Linked DNA regions of Bombyx mori. The main gene of each other region encodes a partner of the protein of the gene in region 2 in a complex. Links are inferred from orthologs where the notes say so. Each region holds a gene or a part of one and is shown on either strand. Other genes may lie near its edges. The genes, in order: armadillo repeat-containing protein 7, E3 ubiquitin-protein ligase RNF113A and pleiotropic regulator 1.

Region 1 (3,760 bases), on a different chromosome or scaffold from region 2:
ATAAAAAATAGAAAACAAAAGGACTGGAAATGCAATAATACAATTTTATTTAATCAACATTTTCAAAATAATCTTTGAGCAAGAGTAAGATATCAGGTGAATAAGATAAAAAACCGGCTTTATCTGATTACTGCCAATAATAACAAAAATAAAAGAAATTCTTTCTAAGCGAAATAACTAAACTCAATTAATTCACTCACTCATAATTGGATATCTCGGATTTTTAATTAATGTTACATTTAAAATCTGAGGCCTGTTTTTATTTGTGTGTGCGTTGTGAATGTTAACAAAATCATGATTCGACGCGTGAATAGATTATGAAATAACAAAAGTTTTGATTCGTTTGAGTTCTTTTAACTTTTTTTTTTTTTTATTGCTATAAAGAACATACGACCGGGCAGATGTTACAAGGTAAATGTCGCGAAAAAAAAGTAATTATATATATACTTTTCTTTTACCTATAATACTTACATAAACTAACTGATAAACATATTAACCTTCTTTACATCACGCAATTAAGTGATAGTATAGGCTAAAAAATCTATTATAAGATATCAGTGACAACCCTAACAAGCCATCCCTATTTTGTCTTTTGGCGTTCCAATTTTGTGTTTTCTCGTCCCTAATTTTTCCAGTCTCGTTCCAAATTACCCTACAAACGTCCCAATTTTCCCCAAAAAGGAAAGAAAAAATATACATTTTTTATTTTGTCGAAATATTGTATTTAAAATAAGAATATTGCAACTTACCGTTTGTTGTGGTATTTCCAGGTGTATTAAAAACTTATATAAACTGTGATCTTATTGAAAAAACAACGATAATATTACTTTTTTTAAAAGTTCTTTAAGCTGTTTTAAAACGCACTTTTCAACCACTATTTTCAATTTAATTTGACGAATTTTTGGGACCAACTTAACTCATATTTAGTACTTCTATAGTTAACTTGGTTTTTCTTCTATACATTGACAAATATTAACATAAACAAAATTAGGTAGATTCCGTGCTACAGGTACTTTGAGAATCTTCCGCAGGTTTGTCCCAATTTACCCCAGGATCCCAATTTACCCCATGTCATGGTAGATAAAATGTTCCCTTCCGCATGTCATTGTGCCACCTGTCAAATGTCAAAAACAACAGAGAAAACTGTCATGGCGTGTCAATTGAATTATTGAATCAAAGGAAAAATAAGGAATGTGTATTTACTTTAATGAAAGTGGTCCAGTCAAAGTAGGATTTTTTCTATAGCCTTTTAAGTTACTATAATTTAATGTTCAGTTCAAGAGCACACTTACAAAAACGTACCCCAAAAGATGGTACTGATCGCGAGGCATATTTGTCATTATTAGTCGACGAATATTTACACTCAAGTTCCTATGGTAATAAAATATACATGCAATATCTATTTAATTAATTTTAATGCGATTTACGTATGAACTTTCACAATTGCCATTAAAGTTTTTACTTTTAAAAATCTTAGATAGTTAGAAAACTATTGCATAAACAAGGGCGACCTTAATGCTAAAGAGTACTCACAGTACAGCTAGCCCTATTGCGTTTGGATAATGGTATTTTTCGTTTTAATAAAATTAAATTGTGTATGTGACTTATGGGATATGATTATAGTGATTTTAATATTTATATTTTATATTTATATTTATTGTATCATACATTAGTTTTTTTTCTTCATTATTAAGTAATGTGCATGAAGGTTTGCTCTGTTTCTGAATAATTAATAACATACCTGTTGGATCTTTTTCACAATTTCTCTAGATAAAAAAGGTTGTTTAGAAGAGATGATTGTGTGACACAATGATGATTGTGTTTTGGTGTGTAGTAAAGTAATCTATCTCTCTCTATCTCTGTCTCTCCACGGCTCTCTCCATGGCACTGCAATTTGTTAATGTTATTTTTCCTTACAGAAGCAAAGTTGCAAGTTTTAGCCAATTTGGCAAATTTTGCATATGATCCTGTGAACTACTCATACATTAGAGACGTTGGAGTACTAGATATATTCTTGTATGTGCTGAAGAATGAAACTATTGGTAGATTAATAAGGTATGCCATTGCGGGTGTCTGCAATTTGTGTTTAGGTAAGCTGTTGATAACAATAGATGAATAGTTTTCTCAAATTATTATAAGTTCAATTAAACTGTCAATTTTTTTATGAAAACTCTTATAAGAAAGAACCTGTTCAATAAAAGTATTCTTTATATTATTATGTACAATAATTTATTTAAGATTATCAAAGTAGCTCTATTTAAATTTAATTAAATACTTGAACTATTTGAATATTTGTGAGTGTTGATAAGATGTGATTTAGTGCATTTTAAAGTAAATTAAAATTGAAAGTGCCCAATAATATGTAGTGAGCTTGCACCGTTTTCTTGTAAATGTTTTAAGTGCAATGCTGCTTATACCAAATAGCCATTTTCCCCTCAATATTGTGTAACTGTCCCTACATACCATTAAATTGGAACTCTCTTTATTATATTGGAAAGTCTTAAGCCCATTAGACTGAAATGGTTTATTAATGTTATATCTGACAGTAGTACCAACACATGCTGCCACCACACTACTGACAGTATTCAAGATAATAATTAGAAGAGTAAGGAAAGTAGTAATTAAAAAGTAAAAAAAATTTGATTCTGATTCTCAATAATATTTTCATTAAGAAAGAATAAAATAGCAAATGCATTAATAAAATAGCAATAGACCCGACTACCGACTAAACCCCATCGAGCTCCACTACTCCGACTCCACGAAACCTACGGTACCGCACAATGCGCGCCGCAGGCTCGCCGTCGCCGGTACCCGTCCTGACAATAGGACGGGATCCAATCCCCGGGAAGATCCCGCAGGAATAGACTAGCAATAGAATAGCAATAGACCCGAAATAAATTATTGCTAAAAAAGAAATTAGTAATACTAAAGATTTATCAGTCATTTTGAATCAAACATTTTGAAGTCGTTGTGGTCTAAAGGATACTCCGTTTGGTGCATGCGTATCTTGCGATGCATTGGTGTTCGAATCCGGCGGGTATCTGGCGGGTATCTGGCGGGTACCAAATTTTCTAATGAAATACGTACTTAACAAATGTTGACGATTGACTTCCACAGTGAAGAAATAACATCGCTTAATAAAAATGAAACCCACAAAATTATAATTTGCGTAATTACTGGTACCTATTGTGAGTCCGCACGGGTAGGTACTACCACCTTGCCTATTTCAGCCGTGAAGCAGTAATGCGTTTCGGTTTGAAGGGTGAGGCAGCCATTGTAACTATACTGAGACCTTAGAACTCATTACAAGGTGGGTGGTGGCATTTACGTTGTAGATGTCTATGAGCTCCGGCAACCACTTAACTTCAGGTGGGCTGTGAGCTCGTCCACCCATCTAAGCAATGTAAAATCCCAAATTTAGAAAAACGCTAGAATCATCTTTAAAAATTTGACACTATATAAAATCATATTGCTATTTCACATTTCACATGTTTATGTAAGAATTATCACTTTTCAGATCCACTGAATGCAGACTATATTTTAACTCACTTGGGATTAAAACCTTTGTTTCGATTATTGAAGTCAAGTGATACAGACACTGTAGCTGATACAATAACGACATTGATATATATGTACAATGAGAAAACAAAAACTGAAATAACTGATCAAGACGTTATAAATATGATGTCAAATTTGAAAACTACGCAGGATTTGAGGATCGTCAATTTAGCTACAGTTTTTCTACAAAATGTGTGTAAGA
Region 2 (3,760 bases):
ACGTACTCAACAAATGTTCACGATTGTCTTCCACGGGGAAGGAATAACATCGTGTATTAAAAATCAAACCCACAAAATTATAATTTGCGTAATCACTGGTGGTAGAACCTCTCGTGAGTCCGCAAGGGCAGATACCACCACCCTGCCTATTTCCGCCGTGAAGCAGTAATGCGTTTCGGTTCGAAGCGTGGGGTAGCCGTTGTAACTATACTGAGACCTTAGAACTTATATCTCAAGATGGGTGGCGCATTTACGTTGTAGATGTCTATGGGCTCCAGTAACCACTGAACATCAGGTGCGCTGTGAGCTCGTCCATCCATCTAAGCAATAAAAAAAAAATTACACCCTAAACCTTTTAGCATTCAATATTTCCAGTTTGTATGGTAAATTATGATTCCACTTCCACTTTATTTCAAGGCAGCTAATGACTTTATTAATTTATCTATTTATTATTACTATAAAAGAGACATGAACATCGTGATAAGAATAGTGTTTATTATGTCCATTACAATGTTTGAGTTTTAACTCTGGTTTCAACTTTTAACAGTAGTAGTAGAAAGGGCTTAAGTGTGAAAAAAAAAAGAATTCCTCAATGTGGCTGTGTGGCTGCTCGGGTCCCTTCCAAATTGCCTAGAAGCCTCAATAAGTCTCCGCTAATTTACTGACAGGCTATTTTATTTCATCTTATACAACATGTACGGCTTTCTCTTATTTAACCTTATTATTCCATATGCTAATTTAAGTTTTGATTTAACTTCAGGCATTGCTATAAATGTTTAAGCTATGTTGTATGGGCAGTATTCCCTCCATTCAATAGACAAATCATAGTTTAAAAAAACAACTATCCGTCAAAATCAATCACATGTCAATGTTAAAAATGAGCATTATTTTGATCATTGCCAATATTATCATGTTGTGAAATGCAAAAATTAATTAAAAACCCTATAAATACCGACAATACTTGAAGGTCCTAAAGTGAAATACAGTACTTTTATTTAGTATTATTGTGTCCTCATTAATGATTATGTAGATATTACTCTAATATCGTAGTAAGCACACACTAGGTTGAATAAACAATCGTTCAAAATGTCAGACGCCGAAGTGGAAGTACTCAGTACTTTTAAAAAACGTAATATTAAGAATAGGGGTGGCAGAAAACGTAAAACTTCCAGTTCAGAAGGTAATATTGATCGTTAAGTTATTAAATTATTCTCCAAACGAAAGACATCTAAGAATAGTACATTAAAACTATCTCATCGCTTCTTCATATCCTCTTTCTCACTGTTCCCAGACCCCCGTATTATAAGTGCTTTTATTAAGTGTATAACTACTAACTATAAAATTATAATTATATGTAGCGCATTATTCTCTGTACATAATCTTTATTATAATATGTAAGTTTGTAGTAACATTAATTTTGTGTTAGTCCCAGGCACCATTAATATAGCCAAAATTGGATACTTTTTATAATATAAAGTGTGTTTAAATAGCTCGACAATGTTCCATATGTAGCCATAACACGACACTGGCAGAAATTGCTGGCAGAAACTATCGGCAGATTACCATTATAAAAAAAATATATCGACGCTTGAAAGGCAAAAGTGACTAAGCGACAATAACTGCTTTGCACATAAATGATAGGCAATAACCATATTCGATCCGCAAAAAATATATATTTCTAGGTCTATTAAAATTATTTCAATCCTACAGCTACTAGCTAGTTTCTACTACAACTGGATTCGTTAAAATAAATTTTGTTTTCATGTATTTCAACTTTAAATTAGTCTACCGTAAAGTTCACGCATTGTCGCTTAGTCACGTTTGCCTTTCAAGTGTCGATATATATTTTATCATATGAGGCCGTCAGCGCAAAAGCAGCCTAAGCGTACTATAGTTATTATGGAGCAATGAGGCTTTAGTTTTCATGAATTTGAATTTGAGTTGGCAAAAAAAACAATATGCGCTAAAATAATGATTACAAAGCCATCTGCTTTCTATGGGTGAAACTATGGATAGGCCGGTTTTGCATAAAAATTTATTATATATTAAATAAATTGCAATATACATGATTATAAGCATGAAAAATTGTGGGTTAGGCCACTTTTGCGCTGACAGCCTCATATATACTTGATATTTTTTTTTTTTATAAATATAAATATTTACTAACAATCACTCCACGTTAACTGGTCCCGTGCTAAGTTCGTAAAGAACTTGTGTTACAAGTACCAGATAACGGAAATAAATATAATATTTTTATTATACACATATATATATATATATATATATATATTTAATATACACCCATAACCCTGGAAAGACATTTATATTTATCATACAAATATCTTCCCTTGGCGGGATTCGAACCTGCGACCCCCTTGTGTAGTGACCATGTCACTTACCACTACACCAGACGGCTGCTTAATATATAATTTAATATAGTAACGTTTCAGAGAAAAACAGCTCGGACTCTGATGAGCAACAAGTAGTTCTACCAACGAAAAGGGTGAACAAACCAAATCCAAACATACAGTCTACAGGAGGTCCGAAGAAATCCAAAATTGATGTAATTGAAGATAATGATGATAGTAATGATGAAGAAAAGGTATAGTAACATTAACAGCTCATCATCATCATCAACTCACTTGGATATCATCAGATTTGATAATCTGATCTATAATGAGATCTGCACCTTTGAAGCACCAGATATAAGATATCATAAACAGGCTGTTGGTCCATCTTGTAGAAGGCCTACCCACACTTCAAATCTTCACATACTTCATACATATTTAGATATATAATAGCCACTTGAGAACTTTTGGTTCCAACAGCCTGCTTGCTGCCATTTCAGCCTTTCGGGTTGTCTTTTTTTATTCCTTAAGTTCTTAAGTGGTTACAGGAGCCCATAGACATCTACAAAGTAAATGCCGCCATGCATCTTGAGATATTTGTTAGTGTCTCAGTTATATCTCCACTGAAATCAATATTATCAACAATTAGAGCAGTTTATCTTTACTTAAATCTGGCACACATCTTTTTATCTCTTTAATCTTTTTACACGTCATCTTTATGTTGAAGTCTTGTCTTCTGTATTGAACATAAAAAAAAACCGTTTTAAGATCCATTTAGATCAACATAAGCTTACAATTCTTTCAGACTTCTCAAAGGACAACACTATCGGTTCAACAACAGAGAGAGAATGCAACAGCTACCTATGAATTAGACACAGAAAAGGATAGAGATGCCCAAGCCATCTTTGAGAAGGCTCAGAAGATCAATGAAGAGTTGCACGGACAAGCAGATGATAAGGTATCCATTTCTTCTTCTTCTTCTTCTTCTTTGTCGTTTCCTCATTACTGAGGATCGTGACCACCTTGGTCCAGTTTTTGCACCAGCTTCCTCCAATGTTGCCTGAGGGAGAATGCGGGAGGGACAGCGTAACCGCTCTAATGTTAAAGAGCCTAGGCTCGGATGGTACCAAGATTTTACACTCCATTTGCCAGAAAATATGGCGTACTGGCCAGTGGCCTGAAGACTGGACGGAATCAATGTTAATTCCTCTCCATAAAAAAGGCTCCACGCGCAAATGTGAGAACTACAGGTATCCATTTAACAGTATTGAAATCGCACACTTCGTGGTTACTTTAGTGACAGTTAGCTTATAATTTTTTATATGGTTAATACTTATCAACCATACCGTACTAACTTCCATACCAACTTCTGCATATCTTAATAAATTATAATAAAATATGTGTGTAATTAA
Region 3 (3,670 bases), on a different chromosome or scaffold from region 2:
AGTTGTGGTTTCTGTGATATAGTAAGAAAGCAACATATAAAGCCCTTAACCTCAATTAAAGAGTAAACAGTACATATTATTAATAATAAACTATACAAAACTGAACTCTCTTTTTCACTTCACTCCATGACACTGAATAACACTGAAGAAAAATCCTTTTTAAAATCTAAATAGTTTTAAATAATAAAAGTTTTCTTTACATATATTTAAAGACATATCATTTAACCTATATTTTTTTGTTATTTATAGGTCAATAACTCACTTTGTTATATTCTAAGTCCCAGCACTTCACCTGTCTGTCCTCACCGCAGCTGAATAAATATGGATGTCTTGGTGACACTACCACTCCTGAAATAGAATATATTCATATTACACATACTGGTACTTGATGGATTCTTAGATCATGATTTTCACAATTAACATAGACTCAACCTACGGTCTCTGTGCGTACAACATGATGAAATATCCAGAACTGTGTTAATGTGAAAATTATGATCAGAACTTGTTATGTAATTCTGTAATATACATAGCAGCAAAAGTTTGAAAAAATTAAAAATGTCTACTATTACTAAAATAAAAAATTACTAAATTAATTAAGGAACCGAAGATTGGGTTTAGTGGCGAGCTTTGGGGAGGCTTATGTCCAGCAGCAGACTGCCGCAGGCTGATGATGCTAAAAAAATTACTAATTTAGTAGGCAGCGGCTTGGCTAAGCCCATGGCATTACTGAAGTTCCTGGGCGACGGTAACCACTCACCATCAGGTGGGCAGTGTGCTTGTCTGGGCAATAAAAGAAAAATGCGTTCATTATTCAAAATCTGAAAACCAAGCATTGATTTTTGCATGAATACAAAAAGTGTGCGCACCTACCTCTTACTGTACTCACATGTCCAGTGAGAGATACTTTTAGTTTCCCACTTGCTAAATCCCATACTTTTATCACTCTGTCAGCGGCACCTGAAATATCAAAACCATCATGCAGATTAATTCCTTAGGATTGGTTTTATTGTAATGGTTGTGCTAAAAGTTCATTATAACAGAAAAATGAAGTAACTTTAATCATAAATCAAGTTTATTTTTTCAACCGTTCATAGGACAACAGCTTGTCTACACAAATACAATATATTGATTATCTAACTGTCAAAGTTTATGTTTTGTGTTGTATTGATAAAAAAGTCTTATAAATAAGTATATTTAATATGTAAAAATCAAACTTTATATTAATAAAATTTTTAAGATTGACAAATTTGTAATTATAATTCTTACCACATATCCTTCTTCTAATTTATACTAAAAGGATTAAATATATTAGTTAAATGTTGGCATATTAGATGCCATTAGTTTGCTCTGTATGTGGTTTCTATAATTTTACTTACCGGTAGCAAACCACTCATTTCCAGGTTCTACAGCAACACATCGAACCCAACCCAGATGACCTGATATAACACGCATTAATTTCCAGGGTGGGTGCCATTTTGGTTTGGGCATAGACGGCGGTTTCCGTGGTACAGTTAAAGCCCCCGAGGGGGGAGCTGGTGACGGTGAAGGTGTTGGTCCAGAGTATGGGACAACAGCCCCTTCCGACGGCAAAGGTGCAGTTTCCACTGTTTCTGCTAAAGAAAACATTCGATTTATTTCATTGCAATATCAAGGAGTATTGGACCGATTTTTTATTGAATGTAATGAGCATAGAACTCATGAGGTCCACAGCTAAATTCTTGCTGTTTTTTTATCATAACGAAAATGCAACTTTGTTGTAAAAAAAATTCCATAAAAATGAATAATTTTTTTTTTGTTTCTGTATTTGATCCATATTTCTGGAATGTTCTCGATTTTTGTAGAGATATCGTATTGACTATAAAAGCGTTGCAGAGATGACATGAAAGCAGTTATTAAAAGGATCTACTCAAAGCGAAACAGCAAACGGATCACCTGAAGCGAAGCGGAAGAAGTGAATTACGAATTGTAAAGTGTTTGGTAAGTGTTCTTAGTTTTAAATAGAGTTTTAATATGTACTTCAGTGGAAGTTTTATTTATCCTGAGCCTAAGCGCTTAACCGTATATAGGAGTTTGTTAATTGTTTTTACCTGTGGTCAGTGGAGTTTCAGGTCTACAGGTGACAGACTCTTGTTGTTTCAGGGCCTGAGCCTTCCGCACTGCACCCATGACTTGTCCGTAACTATCTCTTGCTTTAACCAATTTCAGTACTTTCTCTCTGTTAATGTAAAATTATAAATAATAATTATCTACTCTAGTGTTTTATGTAGTTATACATAACGTGACATTTTCCTCTAATTTATTTACCTTGACAACATTGTCTGCTCCCATAAAGGTTTTCTCCAGTACAGTAGAAAGTTTTAAAGGTTTAGCAGAAATTTTTTGATACGGAACAACAAATCGCTTAGTTTGTCTATTGTACCGATCTTTGAAATAGCTCATCGATTATTTCCATTAGGACTTGTATTAAACTAACCTCAAATAATATTATTCTGTTTTACTTACGCTTTATCGTCGATTGGCGGCAACATTCCTTGATTAGCTAGGAACATATCGTGCGATCTTTTCAACGATCGAAACACTAAAGTGTGTACAGAATGTTTAATCACGTCCTCAGACATTATGAAGTTATTAATTAATGTCTAAAATTACTTAAAGAATACGAAATACTATTAACTTGTAATATTAAATCAGCATTTAAATTCAATTTTATTTTTAATTAATGCATATTCCTTATGATTCTTACGAAAAGCTTTTTGGTTTTAACGGTGTCGAGACCAAGAAATACCCGACAACAAACAGCAACAACTTTCCTACAAAATAAATCCTACGTCAAACAAACGTCAAATGGACGGTATGAGCAGCGTCACTGTCAAGTGTCACTGTACAGATAATAAAAAATTTGGGCAAATGAATGCAAATCTCGATTAGCCTGCAACAAACATAATTATTATGATTTTTTGAAATTACCATTTTAATTGTTTTAAAACAAACATTTTAAATTCCTCTTATTGAGCTGAAATACTAAAGGGTATTTGAAGAAAAAATTTATTGTTTGTTGTTTATGCTTGTTGTGACGGATAGAAAGTACGGATTTGGCTCAGAATTTTATCAATAATTTAATTAGAGTTTGCTCCTAGAAATGAAAAAAACACTGTTTACACAACGTCGATTTTATTCATAAGTACAAAATTCGAGCATAAAAATTCATTGCGAAGAAAATTGTGGAATTGATTTTCAATAAAATACACAGTGGACTATATCTATATTTACCTCTAAATTCACAAGTAGGTACGAACATGACTAGAAATTGTGCTTACAGACTAGAAACTAGACTAGATACAGCTGCTCACTAGTTTTCGAATATTTATTGATTTAATGATAGCTATTTGTTATGTTAAATTACATACAATAAACATCCTCCAAAGTATTATTTACATTGTACAGTGTGCCTGGTGCGAGTTGTTTTAACTTCTCGATCGTGTAAAAGTTACTCAAAATTGTATGGAGCTGGGGCAGTTACTCTGCGTTTGCCGCTAAAGGCGCTGTTCCAACTCCATACAAATGGTACTAAGCACATTGTACTGTTCAACACACAGACTTGGAATACTTAATAAGTGCATACACAATATTTACATAAACACACAATTACCGTAAAAGAGCATTTTAGTAT

The links.
Region 1: E3 ubiquitin-protein ligase RNF113A (region 2) and armadillo repeat-containing protein 7 share a complex: the UniProt entries of both Homo sapiens proteins name them as parts of the minor spliceosome. The link is inferred for Bombyx mori from reciprocal best matches to the Homo sapiens genes RNF113A and ARMC7.
Region 3: E3 ubiquitin-protein ligase RNF113A (region 2) and pleiotropic regulator 1 share a complex: the UniProt entries of both Homo sapiens proteins name them as parts of the minor spliceosome. The link is inferred for Bombyx mori from reciprocal best matches to the Homo sapiens genes RNF113A and PLRG1.

The regions. Positions count from the first base shown.
Region 1 is NC_085121.1:11,321,858-11,325,617, forward strand, and holds the start of armadillo repeat-containing protein 7, read left to right. Parts: upstream 1-1,114; 5' UTR 1,115-1,267; coding exon 1,268-1,376; intron 1,377-1,919; coding exon 1,920-2,090; intron 2,091-3,517; coding exon 3,518-3,760. UniProt on the Homo sapiens protein: As a component of the minor spliceosome, involved in the splicing of U12-type introns in pre-mRNAs.
Region 2 is NC_085108.1:7,586,383-7,590,142, forward strand, and holds the start of E3 ubiquitin-protein ligase RNF113A, read left to right. Parts: upstream 1-836; 5' UTR 837-1,086; coding exon 1,087-1,180; intron 1,181-2,450; coding exon 2,451-2,602; intron 2,603-3,153; coding exon 3,154-3,306; intron 3,307-3,760. UniProt on the Homo sapiens protein: Required for pre-mRNA splicing as component of the spliceosome. As a component of the minor spliceosome, involved in the splicing of U12-type introns in pre-mRNAs. E3 ubiquitin-protein ligase that catalyzes the transfer of ubiquitin onto target proteins.
Region 3 is NC_085129.1:1,617,481-1,621,150, forward strand, and holds the start of pleiotropic regulator 1, read right to left. Parts: upstream 2,848-3,670; 5' UTR 2,619-2,847; coding exon 2,503-2,618; intron 2,216-2,502; coding exon 2,088-2,215; intron 1,614-2,087; coding exon 1,377-1,613; intron 958-1,376; coding exon 871-957; intron 349-870; coding exon 263-348; intron 1-262. UniProt on the Homo sapiens protein: Involved in pre-mRNA splicing as component of the spliceosome. Component of the PRP19-CDC5L complex that forms an integral part of the spliceosome and is required for activating pre-mRNA splicing.